4 linked regions of the Danio rerio genome follow. The protein of the gene in region 1 interacts with the protein of each later gene in a pairwise test. Links are inferred from orthologs where the notes say so. Each region holds a gene or a part of one and is shown on either strand. Other genes may lie near its edges. The genes, in order: trim59, zdhhc22, vti1b and nrm.

Region 1 (5,515 bases):
ATTGTAGTTTTGCATGTTTTAATTGGTTTGCTTTTAGAATTAAGTTGTAGGAACTAGAAAAATTAGCGCAAACTAGAAAAAATTAAGTTGGAGAAACTAGGAGAAATTAAGTTATGAGAACTAGAAAAATTAAGTTGCAGCAACTAGAACAATTATGACAATAAAATGAAGTTTCAGTAACTGGGAAAAATAAAGGTATGAGAACTAGAAAGTTTGAAAATGAAATGCACTAACATAAAAAAGTTGCATTATCCAGGAAAATTAAGTTTGAGTAAGAAGAAAATTAAATGACAATTTAAAAAATAAGTTGCACTAACTTTAAAAATGTAGTGCCAGTAACTAGAAAAAAATAGTTATGATAATTAAAAAAAAATAAGTTATAACAATTCAAAAAATTAAGTTGCACCAACTCGTCAGATTAACTTGAAATAACTAGTAAAAATTAGATTTGACAATTAGAGTTTCACTAGCTTATAGTTAAGTGGCGGCAACGAGGAAAATTCAGATTCAAAAACTCAAATTAGGTTATAAGAACTTCATTTACGAAGACTGAGGTGGCATCTGTTTTCCACTTCCATTGTTGTAGTTTTGCATGTTTTAATTGGTTTGCTTTAAGAATTAAGTTGTAGGAACTAAAAAAATTAAGTAGCGTTAACCTGAAAAAAAGTTGCACTTACTACAAAACTAAGCTACAGTAACTAGAACGAGTACATTATAACAATTATTGACCGCGTTTATGCAGGCGCTGGAGCGGGCGAATGTGCTTCTCAATCAGGCCTACGAGCCGCTGATGGAGCAGCTGAAAGGTCTGCAGGAGGAGCACAGCCAGCTGCAGATCCTGATCTCCAGCATGGAGGAGGACCAGGAGAGTCCGCTGGAGTACCTGGAGAAGGTGCATCAGCTGAGGGAGCGAATAAACACTCTGAACTGCACACCGATGCCTACTGTACCCAGCCTTCAGATGAGCCCACGAGCCGAGAGATTCATTGAAAAACACTGGACCGATGTGACCCTCAGAGATCTGAGAGACGGGCCACTTCCAGAGATCTCCTGGCACTCAGAGAGCTGCTCAACCAGCAGAGCACAGGTCTCAGATCAGACTCGCTGCTGGAGGATCTGTGTGTGTTTATGTGTGATCATGCTGCTGCTGCTGTTCTGTCTCAATAGAGGAACACACTGGCTTTCTGCTCTCCGTCAGGCTGGAGAAAACGCTCTGAGTGGACTGAGTCAGCCACTGCGTGATCTAGGCGCGCTCTTCTGTTGTGTGCTGCAGAACACTGGCAGTAAATTACAGGCATTCATCTCTACTGTAGGAGAACACACACATCAGCGGCTGCTCCGCTTCTTAAAAGAATTACACTGGTGTTAAAGCACCATGACTGCGTCTGAATCACATGCAGATGTCATTGCGCAGATGTCAAAAGCACAATGGCTGTGTTTGAAATCGCATACTATATAGTACACTAATAACAGATTGACCTACAACTAATGCGATAGGTCGTCCCAATTTCATTTATACTACTTCAAGTCATACTAAATGAATCGCACTATTCTAAAGGTCGTGTAGTAAATTCAAATGCAGTGCATACTCTAGCAGGCGATTTCAGATGCAGCCCATGAAACCGAAGTTAAGATTGTTTTTTTTTCTTCTTTAATTGTGACGTACATGCACTTGAAACTGCTTTGAAATGAGAAAAAAATGTAGCGCAGTGGATGATTTCATCATTTTGAAAATCAGTTGGATCGTTGGAAGCGTTGCTAACAAAATGAAGGAAGACGAATAGACAAAAGTAGGGCACAAACAAGACACACCCTAAATTACTGATAGCCCCACCCTAAATTGGAAAAAGTTGGAGGACCCTGGCCCTCCAGTACTGAGTTTAGACTCCTGTGGTACCTGACGACCATCGTGACCACATTAAATTTCTTTTTTCTTTTTTTCCAAGCCATATGAACAAGACCAGTTTTCTACTAATGCTGTCGTACAATTTAGAGCTGTGGAGGAATCTGTTTCTGAGATGTTTAAAGTGCAAAGCTTAATCTCACTTGAATTAAATCTGAACTTAGTTTTGAGCGACAGTCGGCACTCTAGGCTAGTGTTTAACAGCAGATGGCGCTCTAGGCTAGTGTTTAACAGCAGATGGCGCTTTAGGCTAGTGTTTAACAGCAGATGGCGCTCTAGGCTAGTGTTTAACAGCAGATGGCGCTCTAGGCTAGTGTTTAACAGCAGTGGGCGCTCTAGGCTAGTGTTTAACAGCAGATGGCGCTCTAGGCTGTGTTTAACAGCAGATGGCGCTCTAGGCTAGTGTTTAACAGCAGATGGCGCTCTAGGCTAGTGTTTAACAGCAGTGGGCGCTCTAGGCTAGTGTTTAACAGCAGATGGCGCTCTAGGCTGTGTTTAACAGCAGATGGCGCTCTAGGCTAGTGTTTAACAGCAGATGGCGCTCTAGGCTAGTGTTTAACAGCAGATGGCGCTCTGGGCTAGTGTTTAACAGCAGTGGGCGCTCTAGGCTAGTATTTAACAGCAGATGGCGCTCTAGGCTGTGTTTAACAGCAGATGGCGCTCTAGGCTAGTGTTTAACAGCAGTGGGCGCTCTAGGCTAGTGTTTAACAGCAGTGGGCGCTCTAGGCTAGTGTTTAACAGCAGTGGGCGCTCTAGGCTAGTGTTTAACAGCAGTGGGCGCTCTAGGCTAGTGTTTAACAGCAGATGGCACTTTAGGCTAGTGTTTAACAGCAGACGGCGCTCTAGGCTAGTGTTTAACAGCAGATGGCGCGCTAGGCTAGTGTTTAACAGCAGACGGCGCTCTAGGCTAGTGTTTAACAGCAGTGGGCGCTCTAGGCTAGTGTTTAACAGCAGATGGCGCTTTAGGCTAGTGTTTAACAGCAGACGGCGCTCTAGGCTAGTGTTTAACAGCAGATGGCGCGCTAGGCTAGTGTTTAACAGCAGTGAGCGCTCTAGGCTAGTGTTTAACAGCAGACGGCGCTCTAGGCTAGCGTTTGACAGCAGATGCCGCTCTAGGCAAGTGTTTGACAGCAGACGGCGCTCTAGGCTAGCGTTTGACAGCAGATGGCGCTCTAGGCTAGCGTTTAACAGCAGACGGCGCTCTAGGCTAGTGTTTAACAGCAGATGCCGCTCTAGGCTAGTGTTTAACAGCAGATGCCGCTCTAGGCTAGTGTTTAACAGCAGATGCCGCTCTAGGCTAGTGTTTAACAGCAGACTGTAATCTAGGCTAGTATTTAAAAACTAGCCTAGATCACAGTCTGCTGTTTAAAATTATTTTAGAGTGCCGCACTCTAGTTTTCAACAGCAGACGCCATTAGAGTTTTAAACATCTGCTGGTAATATCTAAGCTTGCTAATAATTTAAGAGAGAATAATGATGAATTTTGAAAATCTCAGAATTGATTTCTGGAGCGATGTTTCGCCACAGCTATAAGTACTGATACAGATCTAACCCGCAGAATGCTCGTTTTTAAAGATGTCATGACGTCTTTTTATAATATTGTAATTAATGTGTCTTAAAGCTCTCTCACCATGTTCTTTTGCACAGGAAATCATAGAAATGAATAGGAAACTAATTTTGGAAAATATATTTATTATAAAACTGTTACAGAGAAAGTATTACGAAATGAAGCACTGATTTGTATTTGCAGCCAGATCCAGTATAGCTGGCAGTGCTTCATCGTTCAACAAAAGCTTCTTTGTGCGACTGCATTACATCGGTGCACAGACTACAGAACAGTTATATAAGAGCATGACGACGGTGAAAGTCTTCGGGAGTAGCTCAGGTTGTGTCCAATCTTCTCTGATATGCTAATCTTGCTTCATTTCCATCATTATTGGGTGCTCGCACAGATGGTCACACTGATGGATTTTAATAGGGTTCTGCAGGTTTTAGAATGGTCAACTTAAGATTTTAAGACCAAGTGTAGAAATAAGTTAAACACTACACAATTTTCTAGGTATACATTTAAAGCGAGCACACAAAGAATTATATTAGCAAGACTTTAAAGGCTTGAATACAACTTTGTGAAGTTTATTAATAAATAAGTATGAGCTGCACAGTGGTGCGGTTAGTAGCACAATCACCTCACAGCGAGAAGGTCGGTGCTTTGAGTTCCGGCTGGGTCAGTTGGCATTTCTGTGTGGAGTTTGCATTAGGCATGGGATGATAACCATTTTCAAGGTATACCACGGTGTGGAAAAGTTAAGGTTTTAAAACTGCCAAAATTTTCTCTTACACCGTTCCTAAGGTACATGTAAGATTTTTCTTTTTTTAGGACGACAGTATCTCCAGCAGAAAATATCGCTAAAGATTCTGTTTAAATGATTAAGAAATCTGTGTTTGAAACTAATGAAGACAAAGCAGAAGTCAATGATTCATTATTTAGCCTGACGTTAACGTTTCAAAATATTTAAAATGTTTCTCAAAATAAAATATATTATAAAAAAAGTTGTGTTTTTTACTCAGACATTTAAAAAGAATATAATTCAGCGCAGTAATCACAATACTGTGAAACAGTGATATTTTTATCCAAGGTTATCACACCGTCAGAGTCTTATACCGTGCCTAGTTTGCATGTTCTTCCAGTGTTCACGTGGGTTTCCTTCGGGTGCTCCGGTTTCCTCCACAAGTCCAAAGACATGCGCTATAGGGGAAATGGGTATGCTAAATTGTCCATAGTGTGTGTTTGTTTGTGTGTGAATGAGTATGTACAGATGTTTCCCAGTGATGGGTTGCAGCTGGAAGGGCATTCGCATATATGTTCAAACGTATGCTGGATAAGTAGGCGGTTCATTCTGCTGTGGTGACCCCAGATTAAAGGGACTAAGCTGAAAAGAAAATGAATGAATAAGAGGATCACATGCTCTTGATTGTCCATGACTGGTCCTGCATTAGGCAACACATGATTCTGCAATCAGAGGATTCCTAACTCAACATAAACAACCAGATGCAAGTTATTCTCATTTCAGTTATGTCATCTTGAAAAATCCCCTCTTCCACTCTACTCCTCCTATTTTTGTTAGATAAGGTGGCCAGCACTGTCGCCTTACAGCTTAAACGTCCCAGCTTCAAGCCCTTACCAGGCCAGTGGACATTTCTGTGTGAAGTTTGCATGTTCTCACGTGGGTTTTCCCCCAGTTTCCTCTCACAGTCCAAAGACGTGAAACATATGTGTATTGACCAAAATAAATCGACAACATAGATATAGAAGCAGGGGAGTTCTGGAGATCTACCTGAGCTCAAACTCCCCTCTCGACCTGCAAACTGGAGGGAGCCCTGGGGTGGAGGATCTCATCTCAGGTCTCTCCCAGGACTCCCTAATATTTTATCAACTTATTGTACTTTCTATTTTTTCCCCACTTGCTCCTTTTGAGCTTCTACAAATATGAAGCACTTTCACTATTTGAAATGAAAATAAACTGCTTATTACACAAGTCTTCAAAGCCAGGAATTGTGTTTTTTTTTTGTAATACATTTCCAAGTCTCAGATGAATAAATATCAGCAGCCAG
Region 2 (5,112 bases), on another chromosome or scaffold:
ACCAAACTCATAAGTGCCCTTTGAAACATTCAATAACTAAACCACAAGATATAGTACATCTGGAAATTTATATTTATAGCGCTTCACTTTTTCCACATTTTTTATGTTACAGCCTTTTTCTAAAATGGATTAAATTTATTTATTTCCTCAAAATTCTACACACTATACCCCATTATGACAGTTGTTGCAAATTTATTAAAAATAAAAAACCTGAAAACTCACATGTACATAAGTATCCACAGCCTTTGCTCAACACTTTGTTGATGCACCTTTGGGAGCAATTACAGCCTCAAGTCATTTTAAATATGATGCCACAAGCTTGGCACACCTGTCTTTGGGAATTTCTGCCCATTCCTCTTTGCATGATTAGTGGAAACAAGCTCTATCAGGTTGGATGGCCACTCCATTAATATTTTGGCGGTGTGCTTTGGGTCATTGTCCTGCTGGAAGATGAACCATCCCTCCAGTCTGAGGTAAAGAGCACTCTGAAGCAGGTTTTCATTCAGGATGCCTCTGTACATTGCTGCATTCATCTTTCCTTCTATCCTGAATAGTCTACCAGTTCCTGCTGCTGAAAAACATCCCCACAGCATGATGTTGTCACCACCATGCTTCACTGTACGGATGGTATTAGCCTGGTGATGAGCGGTGGGTGGTTTTCTCCAAACGTACCGCCTGGGATTCACTCCAAAGAGTTCAATTTTAGTCTCATCAGCCCAGAGAATTTTGTTTCTTATAGTCTAAGAGTCCTTTTGATGCCTTTTGGCAAATTCCAGGCGGTAGAGGCTTCCGTCTGGCCACTCTACCATACAGCCCTGATTGGTGGATTGCTGCACAGATGGTTGTCCTTCTGTAAGTTTCTCCTCTCCACAGAAGAACGCTGGAGCTCTGACAGAGTGACCATTGGGTTATTGATCACCTCCCTGACTAAGGCCCTTCGCCCCGATCACTCAGCTTAGATGGCCGGCCAGCTCTAGAAAGAGTCCAGGTGGTTCCAAACATCTTCCACTTATGAATGATGGAGGTCACAGTGCTCATTGGAACTTTCAGAGCAGCAGAAACTTTTCTGTAACCTTCCCCAGCCTTGTGCCTTAAGACAATCCTGTCTAGGAGGTCTACAGACAATTCCTTTGTCTTCATGCTTGGTTTGTGCTTTGACATGCACGGTCAACCCTGGGACCTTATATAGACAGATGTATGCCTTTTCAAATCATGTCCAATCAACTTAATTTACCACAGGTGAACTCCAATTAAGCTGCTGAAACATCTCAAGATTGATCATTGGAAGCAGAATGTACCTGAGCTCAATTTAGAGCTTCACAACAAAGGCTGTGAATACTGATGTACATGTGATTTTTCAGGTTTTTTGTTTTTTATTTTAATAAATTTGCAACAATTTCAAAAACATTTTTCACATTGTCATTATGGGGTATTGTGTGTAGAATTGTGAGGAAATAATTTACTCTATTTTGGAATAAGGCTGCAACATAAAAAAATGTGGAAAAACTCAAGCGCTATGAATACTTTCCGGATGCACTGTATCTGCCATTTGATTGATAGGAAATAATCATTTAATAAAATATAGTAACATAATCTACTAACAATCTAGTACCTAACTGTAGAATTGCATCTAGCCAAGTATGCATTGTTACACTTTAAATTAATCTTACCCGTTACAAAATGTCACACATAAAGGACATTGGTCTGTGTGTGAGCTATTCAGAAATACCTATTCAAAATGACCTATTATACCAATGTTTTATTCTGGTTCGGTAACTAATTTTGCTCATTTAAACTGAATTTGACTTGAGGTAGCAAACAGGACGCAGACATGAGAATGTTAGATAGAAAAGACATTCAAATGTATTGATGTTCACACACAGTAAGTGATATTTAAATAGAACTGCAACTCTTGTCATACAATACAGTACTGTTTATGCTCAACAAGGCTTCAATAAGAAGAATTTATGTAGCAGTAATGCGATCTGAAATTGATTTTAAATGTTTCTATGTTGTGCTTGATATATTTGTGGAACCTTTGTGTTCTTTCAGCAATATAAAGTTCTGAAGAACATCATTTGTCTCAAATAGTAATATTTTGTAGCTGTATTACACATCCCAGTCCAGTAAAGTGGCTATGCCTCTTTATAAAGAGGCTCTATTAGATTGTGTTTTTACTTTTAAAAGCTGCTATTGTATAAAAAAAAATCAAAATTGCCAAAACGCAAAAAACGTCTTAAAATTTTAGTCAATAATAGTTGTGTAAACCTTCCTTGTATAACTGACCCAATCTTTTAAAGAAGGGTTTACTTTCTTGCTGGCTTGACAAGATTCAAAAGAAATAAAAGCAATAGTAGAAGGTTATACTATGTATATAGTCATATAGTATAGTTATATAGTCATAAGTTTGACTTTTTAAGTGTATATAATTTGCATCAAAATCAAATATGTGGATGAAAACCGGCATAATTTTCCACAAAGTATTTAAAATTCACATATAATTAATTAAATACCAATTTATATTGTAATTCAAGTTCTTGTAGCATATAATCAAATTCAAATCAAGTTTAAACAAATCTAACAGTCACCCACATTTTAGCAGGCCACTGTTGATGTGTTCTGATTACCTAATATGTATGTTTTGTAAATACTGTTTAAACTCATCCATGCTTTAATCCTGACCTCCTCTATCATTGCTGCTTCTAATCACTGCTGCCCTAAACTAGGGCTGAAATTGGGTTTCAGCACAGTGCTGATTGACATAGATATGGATGTTATCACATCTTGGTGATATAACGCTCACCTAATTTACTCTGTGATGACAGAAATCCACTAAAAAGGCAGATCTGTTGGATGGGCTTAAGCTGCTCAAATGAACTGAAGCCCTTATATGGTCCAAATTAAGGTAAACAGAGTGATTTGGCAAGTTTTCAGTCGTGTTTGTGATCATGGTAGACCTGCCAGTTTCCAGGTACAGTCTCGACAGTCGGAACCGGCACGAAAAGTCCCAGAACCCAATGGGAACCAAAAACGTCAGTCAGGTTTGCTCGCCAGGTACCACGACACTCCGACAACTGGCCTTTCTGCAGTTCACACCAGGTCTGTCCTCGGGCCACTAGCAGAAGCTGTTGACAGCAGAAACCAACACTCACTAATCCAATACCCAGCCAGATGTACAGCATTATCACCAGAAAGAACTGGAGACCTGAAATCAAACCTGAAGAGAGAAAACGAGTATTATCATATCCATTGATAAACAAAGCAAAGCACATTTCAGGAAAATCCAACACCATGTCATGGCAATCCCAAACTTTTTGATTTAGTGGCTAATTCATATACTCATTTGTACATTTTAGTACAATTTGCTCATCCTCAATTAGGGGTAGGGTTAGGAGTGGGATTGGCAGACATGGCTCCTTTTAAAAAGTGTAATTATGTTGGCACCAACAGCCTAGTGGCAAAGTACGCTGACATATAGCACTGTGGTGCTGGCGGTGACCTGAGATTGATTCCCGGCTCAAGGTCCTTTGCTGATCCTTTCCCCTCACTCTGCTCTCCTTGTATTCAGTGTTGCCAAATATCGCTGACTTTTTCAGCCCAAAAGCTGTCCAAAACCCACCAAAACGCACAAAAAATATTATATTAATATCTTATTTAATTCTCATGAATTTAAATCGAAATGAAGCTAATTACTTTAACTGTCATGATTTTTAACCACACAGCAAACAACATCAGCTGCCACAACATAACCAGGTCTCATCAGGTCTCATGTTTGCGCTATGCACTGGTTACACCTAACTGAATGGAGCAGGAGGACACAGTTATGGTTTATTATATAAGTCGCATATAAAAGTTACGTTTCAAAACTGCCCAAATTTTGTCAACCCGCCAATGCCATTTTTTACCTGCACAGTCAAAATCAAAACTGCTCAATTGGCAACACTGTATTCCTGTCTCAACTCCCCTCTCCCTTATAATAAAGGTGAAAAATGGGCATTTTTAAATTTTTTTTTGCGTTTTAATATGAATATAAAACCATATGAATTCATACAAATTAGCCACTTTTCTGAAAATATGTAAGTTAAGAGTTTCTTTGTGAGATAAGGCACAAAAAATGGAAGCATGGCTTAATTACTTGGAGGCTGCGACCTTTTTTTTAATTGTGTTTCAGTTTCTAGAGAAATCGAATATTAATTGAGAAAACAGTAGGCGTGGCTTGTTTTTTAAACTGTGAGCTGATTGGATGTAGTAAAATGGCCATTTCATTCAGAGAGATCGGGAAAAAGGTTTCGGGAGTTATTAACAACCCAACAGACAGCTCCTCCTCGCCATTTCTGTTTGTTGTCGAAACTTACAGTTGAAGGGGCGTGGTTAAGTATATTAGCCACACCCAATACCTCAGACAGACGTAATCTGAAAATTGCACTAAAAACAAACAGGAAGTGCATTTTCAGATTTCAATTTTCACTTTTTTGCTCTTGATGACATGCATAAATAAATTGTTCACCACAAAACTAGCAATGTGAACTAAAAAAACCATATGGTTAGTTTTGATGCCATGTGTACTTTAAACTTACCAAGGAAGAAGTAACCAGTTGAGAGTGGCAGAAGAGTGAGGAACGTCAATGGGTTCTCGAAGGAAATAGAGTACTCTATTGTCAGATATGCCACCCCTATTACCAATGAATATAGACAAGAGCTGGACGTATAGATGCTGAACATAATAAAGTAGCGCATGTTCCTGTTCCCAATACAGTTTCCAGTGAAAAAGCAGTGGTGGTCCCGTTTTAGAATCACCTTTTTGCACACTTTACAGAAGTGGCGTCCATTCAGGAGGTAGTGCGCATCAATTCTGTCCGGGCAGTCGGGTGAACAGACTGGGATAACGGTCTCGTTGGCACTCTCGGATGGGTTCCGTATAGTCATGATGTAATTACCCAGCGCATTCCCCATGAGGAATAGAAAGATACTGATGTGAGCCAGCATTGCGGGATTTATAGTCACATCTGAGCTTTGGAAAATAGTGGGCGTGAAAAGGAGGAAGTGGAGAGCGAATGTGACCACGGTTGCAGCGTAGAAGTATGCAGGAGCAATCGTGTTGAGTAGTTTGAG
Region 3 (5,611 bases), on another chromosome or scaffold:
GTATGTATATATAATAAATAATCTGAGCAAATCAGCATGTTAATGTGTTTTCTGAATAAATGAGTAAGTTGACACAATATAAATGTTTGTTCTTTGCATTTCACACATCCATAAATGTTACAAGGGATTTTTTGTTTAAAATAAAGTTTTTTTTTCTGTTTATATAAATATGTTTTTATGTTATGTTAATCTGCTCAAATCACATATTGGAATGATTTGTAAATTCTGTCTGATAATTTCACATGGCATCGTGAAGAAATCATGTAGTAAATGCAGTTTGAGCAGAACATAAGTAAATTATGTTTTAAAATATTAGAAAATAGAAAACAATAATTTTAACCCTCCTGTTGACTCATGGGTCAAAATGACCCGGGCACCCAGACACCGTTTTAACAGCAAAAAAGAAATAAACAATTTCTTTATCTTAAAGTTTGATTGCTTCTAAAATTTCCCCAACATTTGAAAAAATTCATCATTTTCATATTGTTATAAAGGCTGTACACATTTAGGGTACAACAGTTGTCTTTTGGGTAAATTTTATATAGATGGCCAACTATAATGCCAAAACATTTTAATTCTAAAACATTTTACACTTATGCAGGTACTTTAGATATAGAAAATATGCCCTTTACTTTAGCCAAGAATGAGTTGTCCTGATTAAACATTGATAAATGTTTACAGAGTTTGTGATGAAGATGAGATTGTTTCTTAATGCACAACAGATATGAGGATTAAAATTATTTTCACAGCTTTATTTTAAAGGTTATACAACAGTGCACGCCGGTGTATACAAAGTTCTAAGACAACAGCAGAGGAAAAAGTTTAAGCATATTTCACAGTATTACTTTTTTTAGAGGATTGTTGATTAAATGAATGCAGCCTTGATGAGCATATGACAATTCTTTAAAAAATATTTTGAGAAGTCGCCAAACTTTTGCATGATATTATGTGTAAAAACACAGGAACAGAAACAGTGACTGTCTGCCGCCTTCTCTGAGTTTATCATTAAACATGTAAAACCTCTCTCAGCTTCAGGGTATGGAGCAGGAGCTGTTTGGTGCTCCATCATCCTTCCGAACCCCCATGTCAACAAAGATTCGACTGTACCGACGAGATCTAGCCAAACTGCAGAGAGATATTCGGCTATCAGCAACACCAGGGCTTACAGGTCAGCTCGGGGACAGCAGACTTGGTGTTTATGCCTCACAGAATGACCAGAGTGTAAGTATATCTCATCACTCTCTTAAAAGAGGCCGTTCAGGTTTTTCTCACTCTCATGTGTTTTGAACTGGTCCAATAGTTATATTTATGTTTTCTGTGAAACCATGTTTCATGGAAAGAGAAAGGTCACTGAGGTTATGCAGATTAAGACAGAATTTCTGCTTTCTTTGATGAATTACCCCAGACATCAGCTGAGATCATGGTTGAAATGTGTGTTATTGAGAACAGAGAACTATTCATTTTATGATAAAAATCAGTGTTACTGATGATAAATTTATTAAACCATCCTTATTTAGGTTTAGACAGGAATGTGTTGTTGTGTTTAGAAAGGTATTGTTAAATGAAAGCTTTACTCCTCATTGATGATGTGCACATCACTTGAACAGTAATTATGGAGAATTTCTACATCTTTCCAGCTGGATCTAGATTTTCTTCAGGCTAGAACTGGCTAGAACCGCTCCACTGTACCCCTCATGTGTATTCCTACAGGAAGTTCCATAACAATGAGTATGTTTTGAGTACTACAGATCTCTATCTCTTCTGTGTACTGTTTAATGACACACCTTGCTGGCATTCCAGAGGTGTTACGTGATTCTCAGTACACCACTCACCTCCGGCTACATGTAGTGCTGATTTGAAAAAGTTCAATGAATTTAACTACTTGTTACCTAAGTTTGTTAATAATATGGCAACAGGACAAACCCCTCAGGGCTTGAAAGCTGAGCGCATATAGTGTGCAGTTCTCAAAACTTGATGCTGATCATTGTTTTTGGTTGCCTGGTTATTCATAAATGATTGACAAAAAAAAGATGAAAAAGAAGCTCAGGGTATTAGGATTTATATGACTTAATCCAAGTGCTGGTCATGTAATTAGATTATCTTCAAAAAGTTGATTTATTTCACTAATTCCATTCAAGAAGCAAAACTTTTATATTACTGCAGCATTACGGCGTGGCATGGAGTTGATAAGTCTGTGGCACTGCTCAAGTGTTATGAGAGCCCAGGTTGCTCTGATAGTGGCCCTCAGATCTTCTGCATAGTTTGGTTTGGCACATTGCATCTTCCTTTTTACAATACCCCATTGGTAGTCCCATATGGTATCTGCGCGTGCAGAATTCAGCAGATTTTTAGCCCGTCATTAAATCTGTTTATTTACTTGAGTAAATCTAAGTTTATTCAGTTTTTAAATTAATTACAGTAATATTGTTGACTAATATGAAAATGTTCATCTGATTTACGTACAGTGCAGTTTGTAATGTAATATTTTCTATCTTTTAGTAGATATATTATATGAAAGACTTACCTTGTTTACCAAATAAAGTGAATCTGATTGGATTTGCATTTTAAAAATTAAATAAAAGTTAAAAAGGTATTATTATAATCACATATTAAGGTTTTAGTCATTATACTCCCAAAATAATCCAGCAGAAATCCGCAGATTTTTTACCAAAATTCTCTGCAGAAATAGCAAAAAAATGTCTGCAGATTCTGTCTGGCCCTACCTATTGGTTTTCTATGGGATTAAGGTAGGGTGAGTTTGCTGTCCAATTAAGAACAGGTGCTTAAAGCAGTGCTGGTTGCTTTGGCACTGTGTGCAGGTGCCAAGTCCTGTTGGAAAATCACTCAGCAGCAGTCCAGACTTTAGCTCAGACGAGACACTTCTGATGCTGTCTGTTGCTCAAAAGAAACAAGGAATGTGACAGCTGACACCCATGTCTTGCACACGTCTGTGCGTAGTGGTTCTTGAAGCACTGACTCCAGCTGCAGTCCACTCTTTGTGAATCTCCTCCACATTTTTGAATGAGTTTTGTTACTCAACTCTCCAGGATGTAGTTATCCCTAATGCTTGTAATCTTCTACCACATCTTTTTTTCCCTTTACCTCTCTGGTAATGTGCCTGGACCCAGAGCTCTGTGAACAGCCAGCCTCTTATGCAATGACCTTTTGTGCCTTGTGCAAGGTGATAGTGGTCATTTTTTGGCAAACTGTGTAATCAGCCGTCTTCCACATGATTGTGTAGCCTACAAAACTAAACGGAGAGACCATTTAAAGGTCTTTGCAGGTGTTTTGAGTTAATTAGCTGATTAGAATGTGGCACCAGGTGTCTTCAATACTGAACCTTTTCACCATATTCAAATTTTCTGAGATACTGAATTTAGGGTTTTCATAAGTTGTCATTAAATTAAAAGAATTGCTTGAAATATATCAGTCTGTGTGGAATGAATGTATACAATATACAACTTTTACTTCTTGAGTGGAATTACTGAAATCAACTTTTTGAAGATATTCTGAATGTAGACCAGCACCTGTATAACATGAAGGGTAAGAGTGTGCTTTGTATGAGATCAGGTAGTGAGCTGCTGTGCATGTTGCTGTTTTTACCACAACACAACTTGGAAAATAAAATCTAGACAGACAGATAGATAAATGGATGGATGGTCAGACGGATGTGCAGATGAATGGGCAGACAGACAGACAGGCAGAGATAAAGACAAAGTGATCACTTTGCAAGGCTTTTGGTTGTGCTTTTCAATTGAAGAATACCAAAAGAAGTGAATTAAGGCTTTTCTGCTGTTCATCATTCCCAAAAGAAGTTTGAATGTTCAAAAAGATGTTTGAAATCAATACTAAGAAAATACAGGGAGAAGAAACGCTAGATGTTAAACTGTACACTTACTGATTCGTCAAGTATCTCTTTAAGACTATGCTTGTATCCATCGCCATCTTTAAGCTCTTCCTCTAGCCGTTGTCTACTGAAAGCCTCAAAGACATCAGGGATGAAGTGGAAAGTGCAAAGGCACTAAGTTTTATTTGTGCAAAGGTATTGTCCTGTTCTTTTCTCATCTTTCGCAGTGAAGACCTAAATAATTCTCTCGCTGCTCTTTTTGTGAAAATTAAAAGCTGCACAATGTGGCATTGTACCAGTACCTTTTTCAGCTGTGTTGCAAAAAAATAAAAAAATAAATAAAAATCAACCATTACGCACTCAGAGGTCCCCCTAGGCCAAAATTAATGTTTTTTTTTTTTCAAATAGCAAATCTTTCATGGGTTTTCAACTGCATATTTCAGTAACAGACATTATTTTCAATAAATTGATCCATGCAGTTTTGCACACAAATTTAAAAAATCTGTCTTCCTTTACTCACCCTTTACTTGCTCCAGACCTGTTTGATTTCTGCTTCTTATTTTCTTCTGTTAAATCAATGGTTACGTGTTTTAGCTTGCTTCTAAATAACTTCTTTAGTGTTCAACAGAATAAACAAACTCATAAAGTTTTGGAACCACTTCAGGGGGAGTAAATAAAGAGTTTTTTATTTTGGGGTGAATTATCACTTTAATACCTGGGGTTGTTTTCAAGTAGTTAGACAGTTTTTATTTTATGAGCTACCTGTAATCATAAACAGATCCTTCCAGTTTTTCAACGCATATGTACCCACACCCACACACATGTATGTAAACTGGTATGTGATGAAAGTTTAATTCCCTGCATCTATACAAACACAGATGCCTGTTACACTGCAGTGGAGTGATTTATTTTTCTGTTGCGGATGCAGAAGTTGGCCTTAAGCAAGGTCATGCTGTGTGTCCCAAGAGACCTGTTTCTGATCTCAATGAAACTGAGGAAGTGAGGTCAGCAATTGTTTCTTTCGAGAGGTCATCACAGTTTTTGTTTTTTTTTTAAATTACAATCAAAATGGTAAAAGTGGGCAATAGTTACCTTTCACTCAGCATGTGCTTATGCTATCTATCTATCTATCTATCTATCTATCTATCTATCTATCTATCTATCTATCTATCTATCTATCTATCTATCTGTCTGTCTGTCTGTCTGTCTGTCTGTCTGTCTGTCTGTCTGTCTGTCTGTCTGTCTGTCTGTCTGTCTGTCTGTCTGTCTGTCTGTCTGTCTGTCTGTCTGTCTGTCTGTCTGTCTGTCTGTCTGTCTGTCTGCCTGCCTGCCTGCCTGCCTGCCTGTCTGCATGCCAGCCAGCCTGCCAGCCTGCCTGTCTGTCTGTCTGTCTGTCTGTCTGCGTCTATCTGCCCATCCATCTATCCATCCATCTGTCTATCCATCCATCCATCCATCCAAACAATCAACCACCCACCCACCCACCCACCTACCTCCCTCCCTCTCTCCCTACCTACCTACCTCCCGACCGACCGACCGACCAACCTACCTACCTACCTCTCTCTCTCTCTCTCTCTCTCTCTCTCTCTCTCTCTCTCACTCTCTCTTTCTCTCTGTCTGTCTATCCAGAGACATCTAAGAATAATTGTTACGAATTGTAATAATATAAAACTTAAAAAAAAAACTATTGTATACGGTGTAATTAATAATAATCTCTAATAGTTATTATGGATTGGGAAGTTAGAATATATTAGACTAAAAATG
Region 4 (6,042 bases), on another chromosome or scaffold:
GTCTACATGGAGAGAGTTTACAGGTACAGTATAGTTGCTTGCTTACTTGAGTTAAATTTTAATGTTCAAGAGATCTTTAGAAGATTGAGTCACTATATTTATCTTTAATTTACTTGGGTTGGGGAAAAATCAGCTGAGACCTTCAAAATCATGTGAGACTTAATGCAGCGGTCATCGACATTACAGTACCGAATAGCATTTTCTGCATTGTTCTCAAAAATATAAGCATTGTTTTAGTGTATGTGGAGAGGGAAAGTGGCTTTTCTACAAAAGTCAGTCAACTCATAGACAAGGATGTCTTAAAATATTCCTTACAAGCTGTTCACACGCCAATCAGAAAGGAAATAACATGAAAATTTGAAATATAGAATCCTTGACAGTCATGATATTTTTAGTTTTTATTACAGACCTCATAACAATTCTTTAACATCCTTTATTTTAGTTATTGCTTCAAAAAGACAGTGGCTTTTAATTTGTGTTTCACATATGGCATGTTTTGACTGCATCTGTATTTAATTTAACACATTATTATTGGCAAATGTGTCACTTGTGTGGACATCATGTTGGATTAATCATGTGAACTTTTTACATTTTTCTCAGTTTAGATTTTCACGAACTAAAAACTGATCTTTTAGCCTGTATTTACAGATAAAGTGTGACAAAACTTCATTAAACATTATTTGTAGTGCATAATTCAGTGGCTGAAGATTAAAATGTTACATTTACTTATTTACCTGTAGAGACAATTAATGTCTTAAGACTTGACAGGCTCTATTTGTATATTGAATATATATATATATATATATATATATATATATATATATATATATATATATATATATATATATATATATATATATATATATATATATATACACACATACAGGATATATGGGAAGAAAAACATTTGAAATATTGTAAAAAAAAAAACTTTTCTTTGCTCTGTCAAACATCACCTGAAAATAACTACAATATATGAGCTATATATATATTTTTTTATCTAAGAACTGCATTATGTCCAATTAAATATTCATGTAAAATTTAGCTTTTGATTAATAATTGATTGCTTATTAAATATTTTTTCAAATTTGGAAATGAAATAATCTGTATGCAAACTCTGTAATGCACTGTTTTTGTGTGGTTGTAATAAAGCTTTACTCACTGTTGCACTTTATCTAATTTAAAAAGTAAGCTGTTTTATGCATTCTATAGTTTCTTTTATCACTTGGCTGTTCAAGTCCAGGGTTTTGAATTGACTCCCTTAGTAGTGTATGGTGCTCCTGAAATAAAATGTTATGTTGCTGATGTTCTGTTTCTAATGTTTGTAAAGCAAACAAAATCTCAGTATCTTGTAATACTGAACAAATACAGATCAATTCAACAGCCAACCAGAGTAAAACTGGTAGAGGTAATACTCTCATATTGGATTAATTTTGGGAATGGAAAAACTTGAAAAATACTTACGAATAATACTGAAGTTACTTTATTTTTTCACCCAAGCTGGCCTGCTCATATACTCTTTACTTTAGTAATATTATCAGCTTTTACCTGAGTAAAATAATCAGTAATTTTTCCAGCTGTGATCAAACCATATGCATATGTATGTATATTTTGCAATATCAGCCTTTGGAAGAGTTTTCTCGTGTCAAATTCTTGCCACAACCACATTTGTCTCCTTAATATTGAATTTCCTGTATTCTTTGTAAATCTGCTTCAGCATTTGTAATAAAAATGTTAAGAATAAAAATTGTCATAAACATTTTCTTGTTTTCTTGACAGGGTTTTTGTTTTTAATCGGATCTCAGTGTAAGGCACTAGCTGCAACTTGTGCAAACAAAAATCTTGCTGGATTATAACAATTATGGTAAAAAATTGTGTTCGGAAAGGATATTTCTTACCAATTACAGCAATAATAACCAACCTGAATTAAAACCAAAAACGTACCGGCTTAAAGTACAGCATTTGTCATCATCCCTTTAATCTACCTAATCTGTGCTAAAGTGCAGATAAAATAAGTTAGAGCTATGCAAGCGTAACTACAGGAAACATCTAACTTTGTAGTCTTCTGATTGCAATCTGCACATCGCGTGTACCACAGACACTGGGAATTCACAAAGATTAAATCATCATTATATAACTATGTATGTATCTACACTGTAAAAAAGTGATTAGTTCCTATACTTTAAAAAAGTGAGTACACCCGTTGTCAGAATTCAGCCCTTAAACATTGTTTACAGAAAGCAATGGTAAAATGTGACAGTCATACTGTATTTAGTTTAAATCCAGCCTTTAACAATCTTTACCAACAAGCCACTAACTGTTGCATAATTTTTGCACAGTGTTTGCAGAAACCATCTCCTATTTACTTGTGGAAGGGAGAAGGGGAGACATGCCACTCTGAAGTGTGATCATGAGGCCAGTGAGATTTCCAATATCCGTTACATTAGACAGTGTTTAAATTGGAAACCGTGCAACACTCCACCATGCGGTAACCACGCGTCACTGCAGCCGCCCCTTCCGGAAGTATCGTTGCTGTCGGTTTGAAAATATAAATATTGTCATGGCGTCGGTAACTTTTCGCGACGGGTTTCTCTGCGTTTCTGCTTTAATTACCTTCGTGTTCGTATTTGTTACCGGCGCAGATTTTGTCCGTTTTGTGTCGTTTCGTGCCATCAATCATAACCTGAGCGGAGCCGCGCCTCTGTGTCGAGGTGAGATCCAGAAAACAGCCAAACTGACATACAAGTTACTGACAGAGTTTACAGAGAAACTAGACATGCTGTAAATAAACGCATGCACACTTACATTATTATTATTATTAATAGAGAGATTTTCATTCAGAATGGTCTTAAATGTGTGTTACAATAACATATTTTGAGTAGTTTAACTGTTTAGTTTGTTCGTACATTAGATTACAGCAAAGTTCTATAGTCTTTGGATTAGTTGGATCGAATTTTTAAAAACAAATAAGATTAATTACAGGCATATTTACAGCTTACTGAGTTTGATCTTTAATATGCAGTTATTAAACTTTTATTTTGTTACTTTGCATATAAACGTTAACATGTCGTATGAAGTCTTGATAAAATAACGTAATAAACTTGATCTAACGACTAAAGTTAAATTAATTGTAGATATAATAAACTTAATTATTATTTAGTAGTTTTAATTTGCAGTAAATTAGTTTGTGAAACGTTCCTGTCAATCGTGTTTAATATAACTTTAATGTAAAAGCGTCGTAAGAAGTTACGCTAATGTTAGCTTACAGTTTGAACTGACTAATAACAGTAAACAGATTAATTATAGATTTGAATAATTACTTTTTGAGTATTATTTAGTGTTTTAGCAATATAAAGCATTTATACGTTGATAACTTGAAATTTGTTTCTCTATCCCTCAAATGACCACTTATTCCTTGTGTGTGTACGAAGCGCCCGGCTAGCTCAGTCGGTAGAGCATGAGACTCTTAATCTCAGGGTCGTGGGTTCGAGCCCCACGTTGGGCGCAAAGTTTTTCATAGTGTTTTCTGTGTGTATCTGTATTATTTTCTTCCAGACTCTGTGCCCTGGTCTGTGGCTCTGCGGGATGGGGTGGTTCAGAAGGCAGTGGCTGTGGATGTTCTCCTTCTGGTCGTCTTCAGCCTCCAGCACAGTCTGCTGGCCTGGACTCCAGTGAAGAGAGTCTGTCAGAGTGTGTTTGGGGTTTTGAGCAGATCTGTGTATTGTTTCACCACCGCCGCTGCACTGCAGGTAATTCTGCATATGCATTATTTAAACATTTATAAGTAATTATTTGAGAGATGCTTTAATATAGAAGTAAATGTAAAGTGGTATGTAAGAATATTTTTTAAGGCAATGCTTTGCCTTTTACAGTTGTTATGTAGATATTTTATTGAATTAAAATTATATTAAATTATAAATGAGTAATTATATAACATTTGTGGAGTTATAATTTCAGAAATGAACTAGAAAAATGTACATACAATAAAAGCGAAGTTTCTTCTTAAACACCTGAATTAATACTGTGAACAGAATAATAAAAATATGTCTAAAATAATTTTATATAAAATTAATTATTTATTATTTATTTAATTTTATTCACTGTAGTATGTCACTTGGATGTGTTATTAATTTACAAATTATATTTATTTATGCTAGTTTCTCTAATTTCAAATTATTTCTTCTAAAATTATTTAGAGATTATTTATAAAACTATATTTAAAAGAATTCCAACCTTTTTTTAATTGCACAATTGTAGTATTACTTACCTTTTATTAAATTAAAAGCATGCATTGATTTTAAATAATAGATTACATGTGATTTAAAATAATGTATTTTGTTTAATTTATTTACTTGATTAATAAATAAATTTATAATTTAATAATTATAATTAACAAGAAATAGATTTAAACTGTTTTATGCACATTCATTATAGTGATTATTTATTTAAAATAAACATTTAAAACTATTCCAACCATTTTTATTGTTACAATTTTAGTATTGTTTATCTTTTATTAATATAAAAAGCACGCATTTATTTTAAATAATAAATTAAATATTAAAATGTATGTATTTTCTTTCATTTATTAAATTATTCAATTAATTAATAAATTAAAAATGTATTATTTAAAATTTGATCTTTGTTTTATTATAAAATGTAATTAAATCCAAAATCATAACATTAAGATAAAATTTAATCTTACATTTTTTTTTCTTCTTTTTTACATTTATAACTTTTTCATAAATCTCCAACAAGACTTTGCAGCCCCAAATCAAAACAAATCTGACACTGTGATCCCTAATTAGCCCTTATAATCAAATACCTCTGCTACCACTCATCATTTAAACTCACATATCCTGCATGTAAATTAGTCAGTGCTATATTCTGCTCATACTGTAATCTTGTGTTCAGATATTAATGCACTATTGGCGCCCGGTCACCAGCGCCCCCTGCCTGTGGTCAGTGAGCAGTGCACCATGGGAAATCTGGTTCCCGCTCATCTGTTTTATAGTACACTTCTTGTGCTGGGCTATAATCTGCAGCATCCTGCTCATCTTTGACTATCCAGAGCTACTGGGCATCAAACAGGTACACATGCACTGACAATCCAGACATTTACAAGCACAAAACACTCCAGTTAAAGCGTCTAATTTCATTTATATTTATTTATCAGGTTTGGACAGACATTTATTTATTATATTTATCTTTATCATGGTTTGTGTAAATGGGCCTTAAGACTAACATACTGATACTAACATCTATAAAACACCTTTAAAAGTGTGTGTGTGTGTGTTTCTCAGGTGTATTATGAGTGTTTGGGTCTGGGTGACCCTCTGCTGCTGAAGTCTGAGCGTGCGCAGCGTCTGTACTCTCACCTCCGTCATCCAGTGTGTGTGGAGCTGCTGACGGTGCTGTGGCTCCTGCCCTCCTTCCCGCTGGACCGACTCCTGCTGGCCGTGTTCCTGACCGTGTATCTGATCCTGGCGCACTCGCTGGACAAGCAGGACTGCGCTTACCTTCGGCACCAGCTGCGCAACAAACTGCAGCTCTTCTCCACACCACTAGAGGGCAGCGAGCAGACAAATGACAACAATAAACTAGAGTGAACGCTGGGTTTATAGGAGTCAGTAATGCTTTTACGTCAGTATGTAAGTCATACGGTGTCTGCAATTGCATACTTCTCTACTATGGTCAGTGAAAAACAATATCGCTGCATCCAAATTTGCTAACTATCCATCCTAAATAGTAATCGAAAATAGAGTTAGTGTGTCCCAAATCATATTATGTTTAAATGCATATTGAAAAGTTACCTGGATGCTCTACTATTTCTGGTAGATATTGAAAGTGCATATCCATGCTAACGTTAACTGTTAATATTGCCGTTAATTCGATACCGTTTTCCAAAGTTGGCTGGTTTACTTTTTCTAGTAGAAATTCGAAGTGCGAATCTCTGCTAATGCTAATGGCTAATATTTCCGTTGCACGGACCCACACTTCAAATAAAAAAACATTTATTTTATATTATGATAAAACTTCGAAGTG

The links.
Region 2: the proteins of trim59 (region 1) and zdhhc22 interact in binary tests that used the Homo sapiens proteins (3 or more experiments, as listed by UniProt). The link is inferred for Danio rerio from reciprocal best matches to the Homo sapiens genes TRIM59 and ZDHHC22.
Region 3: the proteins of trim59 (region 1) and vti1b interact in binary tests that used the Homo sapiens proteins (3 or more experiments, as listed by UniProt). The two-hybrid records come from large-scale screens. The link is inferred for Danio rerio from reciprocal best matches to the Homo sapiens genes TRIM59 and VTI1B.
Region 4: the proteins of trim59 (region 1) and nrm interact in binary tests that used the Homo sapiens proteins (3 or more experiments, as listed by UniProt). The two-hybrid records come from large-scale screens. The link is inferred for Danio rerio from reciprocal best matches to the Homo sapiens genes TRIM59 and NRM.

Annotation. Positions count from the first base shown.
Region 1 is NC_133190.1:1,612,632-1,618,146, reverse strand, and holds the end of trim59 (tripartite motif-containing protein 59), read left to right. Parts: intron 1-742; coding exon 743-1,369; 3' UTR 1,370-4,020; downstream 4,021-5,515. UniProt on the Homo sapiens protein: E3 ubiquitin ligase involved in different processes such as development and immune response. Serves as a negative regulator for innate immune signaling pathways by suppressing RLR-induced activation of IRF3/7 and NF-kappa-B via interaction with adapter ECSIT.
Region 2 is NC_133192.1:49,753,572-49,758,683, forward strand, and holds the end of zdhhc22 (palmitoyltransferase ZDHHC22), read right to left. Parts: coding exon 4,578-5,112; intron 3,218-4,577; coding exon 2,931-3,217; 3' UTR 1,523-2,930; downstream 1-1,522. UniProt on the Homo sapiens protein: Palmitoyltransferase that could catalyze the addition of palmitate onto various protein substrates and be involved in a variety of cellular processes. Catalyzes the palmitoylation of KCNMA1, regulating localization of KCNMA1 to the plasma membrane.
Region 3 is NC_133188.1:36,483,002-36,488,612, reverse strand, and holds part of vti1b (vesicle transport through interaction with t-SNAREs homolog 1B), read left to right. Parts: intron 1-1,029; coding exon 1,030-1,221; exon of another isoform or gene 1,222-3,050; intron 3,051-3,128; exon of another isoform or gene 3,129-4,167; intron 4,168-5,611. UniProt on the Homo sapiens protein: V-SNARE that mediates vesicle transport pathways through interactions with t-SNAREs on the target membrane. These interactions are proposed to mediate aspects of the specificity of vesicle trafficking and to promote fusion of the lipid bilayers.
Region 4 is NC_133194.1:975,549-981,590, forward strand, and holds nrm (nurim), read left to right. Parts: upstream 1-2,560; coding exon 2,561-2,711; intron 2,712-3,432; exon of another isoform or gene 3,433-3,505; intron 3,506-3,555; coding exon 3,556-3,749; intron 3,750-4,911; coding exon 4,912-5,088; intron 5,089-5,300; coding exon 5,301-5,606; downstream 5,607-6,042.